Coturnix japonica: one gene and its partners. The protein of the gene in region 2 purifies or fractionates together with the protein of the main gene of each other region. This does not show direct contact. Links are inferred from orthologs where the notes say so. Each region holds a gene or a part of one and is shown on either strand. Other genes may lie near its edges.

Region 1 (4,834 bases), on a different chromosome or scaffold from region 2:
AAGGTAAGCATTAAACCCTGTGGGGAAGGAGGTGGTAACAGATGATGTTGTAGCCATTGGGTTGGTTGAGCAGTGGTGGTTCTGCAGGACTAGAATTTGTTGTTGCTGTTTCTATTCCAGATGATGACGAGTCTGATGAGGAGTCTGTTAAGAAAACAAACAAATGCTCTCTGGTTTGGGAGGTGAGTGGGCAGAGTTCTGGTTTGCTGGGAGTTCTGGGGGCTTAGGAAAGGCACAGGTTAACCCTGCCTGATAGAATGGCTGCTTTGTATGGAAGGGAAGTCTACTGATCTGAATTGAACTGTACAGTTCTTAAGCTATAGCAGAATTACACAGTGTGGGGTAGATACTCCAAACCTCTTGCAGCAGTTGGGTTAATTGCTTGTTGACCTGTAAAAAACATTTATTCTCAGTTTTATTTCAGTTACTTTCTCCCCATAGACTTGTGGAAATGAGTCCCCTTTTCTCTTCCAGGGCACGGCAAAGGATCGAAGCTTTGGCGAAATGAAATTTAAGCAGTGCCCCACTGAAAACATGGCACGGGAGCACTTTAAAAAGCACGGAGCAGAGCACTACTGGGACCTGGCTCTGAGTGAATCCGTGCTGGAATCCACAGACTGAGGGTGATGCTGCCCCCGGCACCCCCCCCCCTCCCTTTCTTCGTTTGAGAACGAATACCTCGTGGGAACTTGAACGACCCCCTTCCTCCCCCTCCGGTCTCAGTACAGCGAAGTATGATTAAAAGAAATATTTTTTAAAGCAAATCACTTAACAATTTGTTTTTCTGGATACGTTCAGCTCCTGGAGGAGGTGTGAACCTGTTGGCTGCCCCCCCCCAAGCCCACACTGTAGGGAATCTGACCTGGGAATGTGACCTTCTATGGAAAGAATCGTTATGGAGCTGAAGGGGAGAAGTTGTTTTCTATGCTCTTTGTGTCCCTTCAGGTACGAAGGTCTCAGGGCTGTGCTGGGAGGTGTGGGGGGGCACAGGGGGTCTGTGTGGGGCAGCACAGGGGACAGGGGAGGAGCACTTGGTGTTTGTAAAGCAGAGTAGGAGACGGGGACTTAGCCCACATCCTATATTTACATAATAAACATGTTGGTTTCTTTTTGTAAAAGCTGAAGCCGCCTTCGGTTTGTGTGTGTTTATGGCAGCGTTTGGAACAGCACCCAATGGGGGGGTTTGGTGGTTTAATGGGAGTTTGGTGCTTTAAGCGAGGCTTGATCTCATTGCAGTGCTCCCTGCGAAGGGCAGCTCAGCCTCTCCCAGCTTTCTGCTCAGCTCAGCGGGCCGGGTCGGACATTATGGCCCCGTTACTTCAAGCCTCATCTTGCTTCTCTACAGCGCAGGCGGCCGCCATCTTGGCCGCGGGGCAGGCCGGGAGCGAAGCGCAATGCTTGTGGAGGGGGGTGATGCTCAATGCGCATGCGCGACGGCAGGGAGGACGGCTGGGTGGAGCGGCGCATGCGCATTGCTCAGGAGGGCGGGCGGCGGCGCATGCGCAGTGCAGAGGCGGCTGTGGTGGGGGGGGTGCCGCCGCCGAGGCCGTGTGAGGGAAGGCCTGGCACAAATGGCGGCGGGGGGGCGGGCGCTGCGCGCGGAGGGGGCCGGCGAGTGACCGAGCCACCACCGCCCCGGGGTGCTGCTGGTTGGGGGGGGGGGGGGACGAAGCGGAGACGGCTCCGTGCGGCTGCCGAACCGACCTCGGAACGCGGCCCGGCCTCTCGGTGTGGGGCCGCCTCGTTCTCCACACACCCCCCCACACCCTCCGTTTCTCCTCCCAACCCCCCCCCCGGGACCGTGACGGCGGGCGGCGGCCGCGGCCCCGCGGGGCTGTGAAGGCCGGGAGCGCCGCCGCCGTCCGCGCGGCCCCGCCTGGGAGAGCAGGGCACGAAGATGGCGGCGGGCGGCGGAGGCGGCGGCAGGGCCTCATCATCGTCGGCCGCGTCCTCGTCGGCCGGAGCGTTGGAGGCCTCGCTCGATAGGAAACTGCAAGCGGTGACCAACACTATGGAGTCCATCCAAGGCCTTTCGTCGTGGTGTTTGGAGAACAAACGGCACCACAGCACCATCGTCTACCACTGGATGAAGTGGCTGCGGCGCTGTGAGTGAGGGCAGCGGTCGGACCGGGCCGCCCCTTTTCCCCCCATCCCGTCCTTCTGGTTCCCTTTGGTGGGGTTATGCGGCCCTTATGGAGCTCCGTGTTGGGGATAGGGAGCAGTTCCCACTCCTGACGGGGTTCCTTTCAAACGCTTTGGAAACTGAGATTGGGTTTCCTATTCCGTGCTCCAAAGGCTGATCCCGCACTGTGGTGTTGGGACGGGTCCGTGTCGGTGTGTTTGGAAAGGAGCAGTTTCATGGCAGAGTTCCTTTGGTTGGATGCTGCCAAAGCTCAGGGCTGGCAATGGGGCACTGTGTGATGGTGGGGCTCTATGTGATGGTGGGGCTCAGCACGGTGCTTACAACACAGTATTATGGGGGGGGGGGGGGTTGTGATGGTGGTGCTGGTGTTGTGTCAAAGCTGCCCAGCTCAACTTGATGGAGCTCGCAGATCTGACGTGCTTTGAGGTGTGATTTCGCAGAGGCCTTTCGGTATGGCTTCACTCCTGGGCTGGCTTTCAGCTTAGCGTTGCCTCTGTGTGTTTTGGGATATATAAATGGAGTCGTTGTAGACGAGCTGTGGTACTGTTGGGCCTCTGGAATGATGCTTTGTGCTTGGCCTGAGTTGTTGTAGAGCATCGTTTGGAAACATTGGAGTGTTCAGTGCTATGGAGTGGGGGGTTGTGACCATCCTGTTCTACAGGAAACACAGCCTGACATCAATAAGAAGGAAACACGTTGGGTGCCAAAACTCAGATTTGGTGAATGCCAGCAATGGCACAAGAGTGGCAAAGTTCCTGTTTTCTAAGCAAGGTTGAGTTCTAGCTGCTGCCTGGCTGATGTGTGAAGGTTTGGTGTGTTGGAGGAGCTAAAGAAAGCTCTGTAGTAGCGTGGAGATAAAGCAGAGCAACACTACACAACGACAGTATTGTGTTGAACCTTTTGTAAAGCCGTGCTGCAGTAGCTTTGTGACCCCACGTGTATTTTGGTATTAATGAGTGGAGGGTGAAGAGGTGCTGTGTGTGCTCTGGGGGTTGTTTTGGTGATGCCTGGTAATGTGTCAAGCAATCTGTCAACCCTAAAAGGTACAGCTGAATAGTGAATGGGGTCCAGAAGCCACAAGGATGCTCCAGAGGATGGAGCACATCTATGGAGAGAGGCTGAGAGCTTGGGGTGTTCAGCCTGGAGAAGAGAAAGCTCGTTGTGGCCTTCAAGTATCTAAAGGGAGCACATAAACAGTGGGTAAAGCAACTGATGTGTGTGATAGGATAAGAAGGAATGGCTTTAAATTACAAGAGGGGAGACTTAGGTTAAATGATAGGAGGAAATTGTTTAGCCAGAGGCATCTCAATGCTGGCACTGTTGCCCTGAGAAATGTGGGTGCCCCAGGCCATGGATGGAGCCCTGGGCAGCTTGAGCTGGTGGGGTACCCAGCTTATGGGCGGCTGTGAGGTCCTTTCTGACCCAACCCAGCTTATGGGGGGCTGTGAGGTCCCTTCTGACCCAACCCAGCTTATGGGGGGCTGTGAGGTCCCTTCTGACCCAACCCAGCTTATGGGGGGCTGTGAGGTCCCTTCTGACCCAACCAGGAGGTGATTCCATGTGCCATAAGCTCAGATCTCTGCCACTGGTTGCTGGAGTTTGTCTTAACGTTGATCTGATGGGAGAAAAATCACATTGAACTTAGTGAAACATTTATTTCTTGTTAGTGCACTTAGTGATTAAAAAGTGATGTAAGAACCTGTTTGTACCCAAGGAATAGCTTTGCCTGGGCTGTCAGTGCTATAAATTCACACAAGGCAAAGCACTGTGTTTATCTTCTTCAGAGCTCGTCTCTGGAGCCCTACATTCGCTGTGGTCACAGCAGTTTTCTTTCTCCTCCTGGCACAGGTGGTTCTGCTCCACTCCTCCACTCAGGGAGCTGCCAAAGTCCCTTTTCAAGCACATTCCTTTGACGCTGCCCCTTCCTTCTCATTTACTCTCTTTCATTAGCCCTTCCCTTATTCCAAGGTTCATCAGAAGTCTTTATTCTTTCTTTGGGAGCCATGGATGCTCTGCTTCTGTCCTTCCAAGCTCCTGTTGGTTATAAGCTGTCAGTACCAGGCTGGATTTCTGTTTGGTTCTGAGGTTGCCCTGGTGCATCCCCCATGTTTGTGAGGATTGCTTAGCACCTCACAGCCCTCTCCAGTAACATGACTGAATAGCCAAGAGCTTATTGTGCTCTCTGGAAGAAGCACAGAACCTTAAGGGTTGAAGGGGACTTCTAAAGCTCTTCCCAAGGTTGGTTCCCTATAGCAGGCCACACTATACCTAGTGTCCAGGTGGGTCTCAAGAGACTCCCCCACCTCTCTGGGCAGCTTGTGCCAAAGCTCTGCCACATTCAGACTGAACTCCCTGGGTTCTGGTTTGTGTCCTGTGCCCTTTTCTTGTCACTGGGCACCACTAAACAGAGCCTGACGCCCACCTTTCACAGAATCACAGAATGACCCGGGTTGGAAAGGACCTCAGGGATCATGTAGTTCCAACCCCCCTGCCTGGCAGGGCCACCAAACATCCACATTTACTAGATCAGGTTGCCCAGGAGACCCATAGATCCCCATAGAGACCCCATAGACCCCCATAGAGACCCCATAGATCCCCATAGATCAGGTTGCCCAGGACCCCATCCAACCTGGCCTTGAACACCTCCAAGGACGGGGCATCCACAACCTCCCTGGGCAGCCTGTTCCAGGC
Region 2 (3,697 bases):
GGGGTGGGAGGAAGCACATTTCAGCAGATTAGTAATACCTGGGGTGTTCCTCAGACTGCTGCCTTTGTCAGTGGGATGTGTCTGAATAACGCTGTGTCAGTTTCCTCCTTTGGATCTGCACAAAAGCCAGTTGTCTGGAGAAGAATATAGGAATAGAGCAACTATATAATGACAGTTCTGTCAAATATTCCACCAGGTCTCAGTGTCTGTGGGGTCGTTCATGTAACTTTTGTTGAGGTATCATGGCAGGATCAGTGGCTCTGAGATGCTGAAGCTTGTGGACTTCTTGCTGGGGCAGGCTGTGAGTCTGGGTGCAGATGGCAGCTCTACAGTCGTGCAGTAGCTGCACAGAGAACAACCAAAACCTTGCCACTTTTTCCTAGAATCCTCACTTAAACAAACAATCCTGGCTTAACTAAAAGCACTGTAAGTTAACCTGTGTTTGATGCTTGGTCTCTCGTCTCTTTCCTGCAGGAATATAAACAGAAGCTTGCTCGGGTAACCCAGGTCCGCAAGGAGCTGAAATCTCACATCCAGAGCCTTCCGGATCTGTCACTGCTGCCCAACGTCACAGGAGGTCTGGCACCTCTGCCGTCTGCTGGTGACCTGTTTTCAACAGACTAGAACAAATGGTGTCCCCTAGTTTCCATTATTACCAGCAAAAGTAAGAAGACTGTTGACTGGAAATCCAGTCTTCCCAGATGTACAGTAGGAAAGAACTTTCAGACCCTGCTTTCAACCTCTTGGCTGCTCATGCTCACCTTCTCTCTGTGTACACTGGCTCACAACGAGGGCAGGATAAAGAGCGAGTTTTTGTGAGCTCTTAAGGGAGTGGGGATAGTCCGTATAAGCAATTTTCTCTCATAATTTTTCCTTACTCTTTAGTTTGTTTGCTCTTAGCACTTGTTACCCCACGAAAGTCATGAGAATCGTGTACATATATGGAAAGTGTTCAAAGAAAGGCTGACCGTATAACATTTTCCTCTGTAAAACTATTGTATTATTTCAGATTGTCTTGCCTGTTTTTGCTGGGTCTCTGAAGCTCGTATCTGAAAGCAGTAGTGGCTAGTGGGCTTCGTAGGGGTGCGTGCATGTGTGTCTGCAGGTATTATATCATGTCAGTGAAGGACAAAGGCACCTACTGAACAATGGCACAAATATTTTAAATCTACAGTTCCTCATGCTGTTGTAGGCCTCACATAAAAAATAGTTCCTATTTGGCATGAACATAAATTGAAACTCACCACAGGCAATAAAAATAAACAGCTTTTCTTTGTGAATTAGAGAGCTTCATAATTTAAGCTCTGCTGAGCCATGCAGAACTGGATATTACCTAAACGAGAGTGGAAGTAAATTTTGTTCTAGCTACCTTAGATTTATACTATATTTTTCCTCTTCATTATACAAAATAAACGATCACAGAAGCTTTGGTTTAACTGAGAGGCTGGAGTGTGGTGGATTGTAACTGGCCGTCACCCAGTGGCAGATCTGCTCTGAAGGTGGTCATGCTGAAAGCATTCTATAAATTCTCCCTGTAGCTTTAGTCAAGTTAATTGATGAACAGAAGTTAAATGTGATATAAACCCCCCCGTTTTTTTCTTAATCTAGAAAGTAGACCCATATACACATCCAGCATGCACATGTGCTATATCTATGCATGTATTAGAAGGATGTACTTAATTTTGTATCACAGATTGTGAGTTGATTTTATTATTGGGGGGGAAAAATTAGAGTACTCTTTAATTTGCTAATGTTCTAGCTGCCATGGATGTCATTAGATTTCAGTTTGTGTGGTAGGTCTATCAAGCTGGACTCTCATCACTGAAAACCATTCCTGTCTGGGAAAATAATCTGTTTAAATCTAATATCTCCTGCTGTGGAACACCTGAAGTTTCTGGAAACACTTGGTCTGACAGCACAGGCTCTATCACAGAGAGGCTGAAATGAGTTACGTTGGTGTGCTGTGTTTGTGCCTCGCTCTGGTCTTAAGCTGCAGTTCTCAAAGACGTGAGAAGATACCTATAGAAATGCAAATCTTGGTCTGCATTAATTTATTTTATGGAGTATTAAGTAGCCAATTGACATTCAGTTAAATAACACCATGTGTTTGGTGGTTTGGTTGTTGAAAAGCTCCTGTGCTTTTCTTACCGATGTTTCACTTTTGTTTATTTTTTTTCCTGTGAAAAGGAAACTTCTTCCACCCCTGTTGCCCAGCCAGGCAATGCCTTTCTTTTTCATTGGCAGGAAACTTTACGATGGCAGTGAATTATATTTTCCATGAATTGGTTTGATCTTGCAACCATTTGTGGACCAAATGTTGCTTACATCAGGCACCCAACACAGTCTGCTTTTGCCAAACATTAAAAAGGGAATAAAATAGGAAAACAAAGATAATAATCAAGGGAAACCAAACAAAGCCACCAAAGCTCCAAAATCCCAAACAAGAAGATGAATTTCTGTCCTGCCACAGCTCCCGGAGTTACCTTGAGGTTGCTTTAAGCAGTGATTGCTTTGACTGTGGATTGAACCCATATCCACTGTAAGACAAAACGTGTTGCCATCTCACGCTGTTGTTCTGGGCAGACGTCATGTGAGGAAGCGGGCTGTCTGTCTTTTCTTATTCTAGAAATGTTTGGACTTGTTGGTTGGTTTTTTTTTCCCCTAAGTGTGAGTGTGTTTTCTTTTGCTTAATTTAAATGAAGTCTCGTAGGTTTTACTTTCCTTTTAATGGGCAAAGGACATCTGGTGAACTGAGTAACGTTCTCTGAAGGTCAAACAGATTTTCCCAAGGTTTGTCTCTCTCTCTTTTTTTTTAATGCTAAAATCTGTATATTAATGGTTTTAGGAATTAATGTAGGCATATTGGCTGCCATTTGTGACAGCAGTATATTCTGAAATGTCTCATAGATCTATATTTTTGAATAAAGAGGGTGTCGTTGAATAGCGCTGGTTTTACTTGCTTCATTTGCAGTGCAGGTGCTGCTTGGACTCACTGTGGGTTTTGTTTGGGTGTTTTTACCCTCTGCATTTAAAGGACAGGAACTGCTGATCGGTCCTTATGGCAGAGTTTGAAGATGTGACCATTACTTGGACAAAGTCGAGCTGTGATCTGCATGTTGTGGCAGTACTTACACTGAATGGATGCGCAGCGTTCTTAGGTCATTGCATTCTACTTTTATTGCAGCATTCCTCAGAACTAACCTCTGATAAGAGAAGCACAAGGCACTGAAGACTTCCGGCTTCCAAGCTTATAAATTAATTCAGGTTATATGGAGGATGAATTAATAATTAGGTTTGGATACAAACAAACAGAAACCAAACCCAAACAGGAGCTTGGAAACTGACTTTCCTGTATGAAGCATTGAGAGCTGCTGCTGTTCCTGCAGGGTTTTGATGCTGTCTAATCAAAGCCTTTCCTCTGTAGAGGAGGAGGATCTTCACATCTTATTGTGTATTAATTCTCTTAGAGGTTTTGGGGGGGAGCTTATGGGTTCTTCACTCCAATTAACTGCTATTCAATAGTCTCTTTGGGCAAACTTGATAATTGTTTCATGTGCCTTGGAGAGTGTCAGCAAAGCTGCTTATAACTTTTAGCAATTTACGAATCTTTCATTAAGGAGGCTATATTTAGTCTGCTTTTGTAATCGACTTGCAGGAAGTTTGATCTGCAGCTTTCTGTGAGAAGAAGGGAGTCTGA
Region 3 (4,436 bases), on a different chromosome or scaffold from region 2:
CATTCACAGCCAATTAAAACCAATCTCCAGAGTGTGACCAAGGTCACTTCCAATCACACACACAATTATGACAGGGATTATGAGCTGCAAAGCAAATTTGTTCACTCCTGTGTGCTGCAGCTTGTCAACTTTTCCTTGGGTAAAGGCCTCTCTGTAAAAAATATGATTGTTTGACTATATATGGCCTGGCAACACAAGCTGTTCCTGCGCTGCTGTCTGGTGTGCAGCCACTGTTTCCCTGTCTGGATGAGTGGAGGTAACAGCAGCAGCTGCTCCTTGGTAGAACTGCATGTGGGGAAGGGGAAGCTTCTGGCCTGTGTTCCTGCTTCTCTTTTGCTCATTCTTTTCCTGAGCACACTCCTGCTGTGGGTCAGTAGTGTGCCCTAACAACTACACATTCACAAAGGCTGTGAGGCACGTGTGGTCTTAGCTCTAACTGTATCTGGTAGGGATGTGACCTCTTTGGACCCCACCCAGCTCCAGTTGTCAAACCAGGCTTTGCAATAATTGATATTGCCCAAGTTTCATGGACAATGATACCATTCCTTTCCTACACAAACTCTGTTCTCCCTGTAGATTCTCAAATGGCCGGAGCTTCAAGCAAATGGGGAACACCTGAGCGAAGTCTACATAAACAACGTGATAACAGACCCTACTTTCACTTACCTTGTTGCTCTCACTAGTGTGAACATTACAGCCATTTGGAAGAAGTCATAGTTCCTTGTTATAGAAGTTCATTCCCCGTGTTTTGAAATAGTGCAGTATTAGTGACTGTTACCCATATAACCATAAAGTTTTCTAGACCAGCTGTTACGTGCAAAAGGTAAAAGAGTTCGTTAAGCACATCCAGTCATCCAGGCTTTTTTCCTGTAAGTTTACACAATTTGTGCATTTGTTTTATAGAAATGACACTTAATAAAACAAAACAACAACTCTGCTGGCAGAATCTGAACTTCTTGGAATGGGAAACCAGGGCTGTGACCCGTTATTGCCACTCAGCATCTCCTCATTGCCATAAGGGCAGTGAGACTGAGCTACAGCATAGTGCACATAGTGACAGTGAGGCTCCAGTTAGAAAAGTGAAAACCATTTTAGTGAATTAAGCCATGAAATCAAACAAGACATGTCAGATACAAACATCCCCTCCCAATACTGCTGCCAAAGTCAGTAGGACTGGAAGGAAAGTAATTGGCATTGAATGAAGGTTTAAATAAAGCATTTCACTCAGACACATCGTTCTTCATCAGCAGTGTATCACACTAAGAGCAGGCTGATTTCACTCGATTCCTTCTTGTTTGTCTTTAATGGCAACCTGTAAAGAACAGAAACAGAACCGTCAGTGGATGGTTTAAACACTGATTTCATCAATTTCACATCAAACAACAACTGCATGAGTTCAGGGGAGACCTTATTGCTCTATAACTTCCTGAAGGGAGGTTGTAGTGAGCTGGGGGTTGGCCTCTTCTCTTGTGTTATCAGTGATAGAACTAGAGGGAATGGTTTTAAGCTGCGCCAGGGGAGATTCAGGCTGAACATTAGGAAGTTTTACTTTGCGGAAAGGGTAGTCAGGCATTGGAATGCACTGCCCAGAGAGGTGGTGGAGTCACCGACCATGGGAGTGTTCAAGAAAACGTCTGGATGTTGTGTTGTTGAGTATGATCTAGCCGGGAAGTATTGGGAATGGTTGGACTAGATGATCACAGAATGACCCGGGTTGGAAGGAACCTCAAGGATCATGTAGTTTCAACCCCCCTGCCTGGCAGGGCCACCAAACATACACATTTACTAGATCAGGTTGCCCAGGAGACCCCATAGATTCCCCATAGAGACCCCATAGATCAGGTTGCCCACGGCCCCGTCCAACCTGGCCTTGAACACCTCCAAGGACGGGGCATCCACAACCTCCCTGGGCAGCCTGTTCCAGGGCCTGACCACTCTCCTAGTGAAGAACTTCCCCCTGACATCCAACCTAAATCTTCCCTCTTTTAACTTCAAACCATTTCCCCGTGTCCTGCTATTGTCAGCCCTTTCCAAGAGTTTACTCCCCTCCTGGTTATAGGTTCCCTTCAGGTTCTGAAAGGCTGCAATGAGGTCACCCCGCAACCTTCTCTTCTCCAGGCTGCACAAACCCAACTCCCTCAGCCTGTCCTCATAGGGGAGGTGCTCCAGCCCCCTGATCATCTTCGAGATGGCAGCAGCTCTGGGCTGAGCCCTTCCCTTAGGTTCAAAGGATGGGCTTCTCGCAGTGCTCAGAACTGAGCTCACCCTGAATCTCTCCTCCAGCAGGGACAGCTCGCTGATCAGGTCGGTGATGGCGTTGGTGAAGGCCTCCTGGGGGCTGTAATCCGGGGTCGTTTGGACGCGGATGATGATTTTATGTTCCAGGGGGTGCGGGACCTTGTAACCTGCAAACAGCACCTGGGGGTCCTTCAGCAGCTGCCTGGGGGAGGAGGCAAAGCAGCAGCAAACAAACATACATTAATAGATGTAAGAGCTTTATAAGAGCCCCAGCACTTGTAAGCAGCGCCCAGCTCCCTCAGCTCACGACTTGATGATGTTTCCCAGCGTGTGATCCTCCTTGTTGATGGTGAACAAACAGGCGTTGGGCACCTTGGTGTCCTTGTTGATGGTGATCCTACACAGCACAGGGGGCGGCGATTCACTGCCACAGCCCGGGCGGACATGGGGGGAACCGGGGGGGCACGGGACGGTCCGGGCAGCCCCCAACCCCCCACCGGACCCCCCCCATCCTCCATCCCGCCCCCTACTCACTTTTTCTCCCCTTCGAACAGCAGGAACGACTCAAATGCTGGCGGCGCGTTCATCCCGCCGGCTCCGCACCGCTCCCCGCAGCGCACACAGCGTCACTTCCGCCCACAGCGCCCCCTGCCGTGCGGGCGGACCGTGCGCAGTGCGCTATAAAGGCACGGACACGGAGCGGGTGGAGCTGCGCATTTATTGCCACGCTGCGACCCCCCCCCCCCCCCCCCCCCCAGCCCCATCCCGGCACATCCCGGTCCGTCCGTCACGTCTGCGGCTCCGGCAGCTCCTGCAGGGGGGGCTGGGCCGGGGGCAGCCGGCGGTGACAGCGCTCCAGGTCCTGCAGCGCATCCAGGAGCCGGCGGAGCGCGGGGGTCAGCGGTGGGGCTGGGGGGGGGGGAGAGCGGGGCGGTGAGACCCCCCGGGAATGGGAGCAGCCCCAGAGCACAGCGCCTATGGGGGGGATGGGGAGCTGGGGGTCCTTTCTCTACCTTCTCCGTTCTGAGGGTCCCCCGGCTCCATGAGCTGCCGGCACTTCTCCCTGCGGATAAAGGGGCTGTTGGCCGCGGGGCAGGGGGCGCTTTGGGGGCTGCCCCCGGTTGTGGGTCCCACCTGAGGGGCTGCTGCAGCCCGTGCAGGTGCTGGAAGAGCCGCTGCGCCTCCACGTCGGGCTGCAGCGGGTCGGTCCAGTCCTGCAGGGTGATGCTGTGCCGGGTCCGGCCGCAGCCCGGTCCTATGGGACAGAACAGGGGCTGAAAATAGCGGGGACATCACCACCCCCACCCCCCACCCAGCAGCCCGTACCCGTCCTGTCCTTCTGGTGGCAGCAGCTCCATTTATCCCCCCTGAAGACCCCGGGGTGGTAGGAGCGCAGCAGCTGCGGGTTGTTGCCGCACACCTTCCTCAGCGCAGACAGCCACTGGTTCAGCTCATTGACACACTGCGGGTTAAACAGCGAGGTCACACAGTACCCCAATGGGAAACAGCCCCGTCCCCATCCCAGCCCACCTTGCACTGCAGATACGCCGTCTCCTGCTGCCCGGCCTCATCCACATAGACCACCTGCATGACGTGGCAGCTCCCAAAGCTTTTCTCCTCCACCTTCTCGGCCGCTCGGATGTTGGCCAAAGCGATGGAGCCGCATCTCTGCCATTGGGGACACAGCGCTCGGTGCCCTCCGTGCCACCATGGGATCCCACCACCCCACGTCCCCCTACCTCTGCCCCGGGGCTCTTGCTGAAGCTGAGTGCCTCGCTGGTGAGGCAGAAGTGCAGCTTCTTGGATGCAGAAGCAAGCAGCGGCCCTTTGCCCCGTGTCTTATGGACAAACAGCAGCCCCTCCTTCACCACGTTGCTGCGGGGGGCACAGGGCTGCTCCTCTCCACCCTCCTCCTCCTCCGTGCCCACCAGGCGGGTGATGAAGGCCCTCATCTGGGAGGCTCCGTGCTGCAGGGCGGGCTGCAGCGGGGCCAGCCATTCCTCCTTGGCTCTCCCTGCCGCTGGCTCCATGTTGCCCACCATCTGCACGGCCTGCAGACCACGGCATGGTGGAGTCGTTGCCCCCAGTGCCACCCCGCTGTGCCCATGTCCCAGCTCACCTTGGCCAGCAGCAGCAGCGTGCGGCTGGTACGTGCATCAGCGTGTGTCTCCCTCAGGTGGAAGAGTTTGGGGGTCATG

What was found.
Region 1: the proteins of RPRD1B (region 2) and RPRD2 purify together in Homo sapiens (affinity purification with mass spectrometry; 4 studies listed by BioGRID and IntAct, counting the BioPlex papers as one, with this or other methods). This does not show direct contact. The link is inferred for Coturnix japonica from reciprocal best matches to the Homo sapiens genes RPRD1B and RPRD2.
Region 3: the proteins of RPRD1B (region 2) and DNA-directed RNA polymerase II subunit RPB11-a purify together in Homo sapiens (affinity purification with mass spectrometry; 3 studies listed by BioGRID and IntAct, counting the BioPlex papers as one, with this or other methods). This does not show direct contact. The link is inferred for Coturnix japonica from reciprocal best matches to the Homo sapiens genes RPRD1B and POLR2J.

Annotation. Positions count from the first base shown.
Region 1 is NC_029540.1:1,879,309-1,884,142, reverse strand, and holds the start of RPRD2 (regulation of nuclear pre-mRNA domain-containing protein 2), read left to right. Parts: upstream 1-1,601; 5' UTR 1,602-1,897; coding exon 1,898-2,105; intron 2,106-2,533; exon of another isoform or gene 2,534-4,381; intron 4,382-4,834. Other genes in the region: PRPF3 (U4/U6 small nuclear ribonucleoprotein Prp3), read left to right, coding at 1-3, 121-182, 475-621.
Region 2 is NC_029535.1:8,680,530-8,684,226, forward strand, and holds the end of RPRD1B (regulation of nuclear pre-mRNA domain-containing protein 1B), read left to right. Parts: intron 1-474; coding exon 475-624; 3' UTR 625-2,941; downstream 2,942-3,697. UniProt on the Homo sapiens protein: Interacts with phosphorylated C-terminal heptapeptide repeat domain (CTD) of the largest RNA polymerase II subunit POLR2A, and participates in dephosphorylation of the CTD by RPAP2. Transcriptional regulator which enhances expression of CCND1.
Region 3 is NC_029534.1:3,079,409-3,083,844, forward strand, and holds DNA-directed RNA polymerase II subunit RPB11-a, read right to left. Parts: upstream 2,905-4,436; 5' UTR 2,826-2,904; coding exon 2,773-2,825; intron 2,636-2,772; coding exon 2,546-2,635; intron 2,441-2,545; coding exon 2,266-2,440; intron 1,313-2,265; coding exon 1,277-1,312; 3' UTR 934-1,276; downstream 1-933. Other genes in the region: LRWD1 (leucine-rich repeat and WD repeat-containing protein 1), read left to right, coding at 577-717; ras GTPase-activating protein 4-like, read right to left, coding at 3,026-3,147, 3,252-3,301, 3,373-3,493, 3,565-3,700, 3,769-3,906, 3,978-4,289, 4,358-4,436. UniProt on the Homo sapiens protein: Core component of RNA polymerase II (Pol II), a DNA-dependent RNA polymerase which synthesizes mRNA precursors and many functional non-coding RNAs using the four ribonucleoside triphosphates as substrates.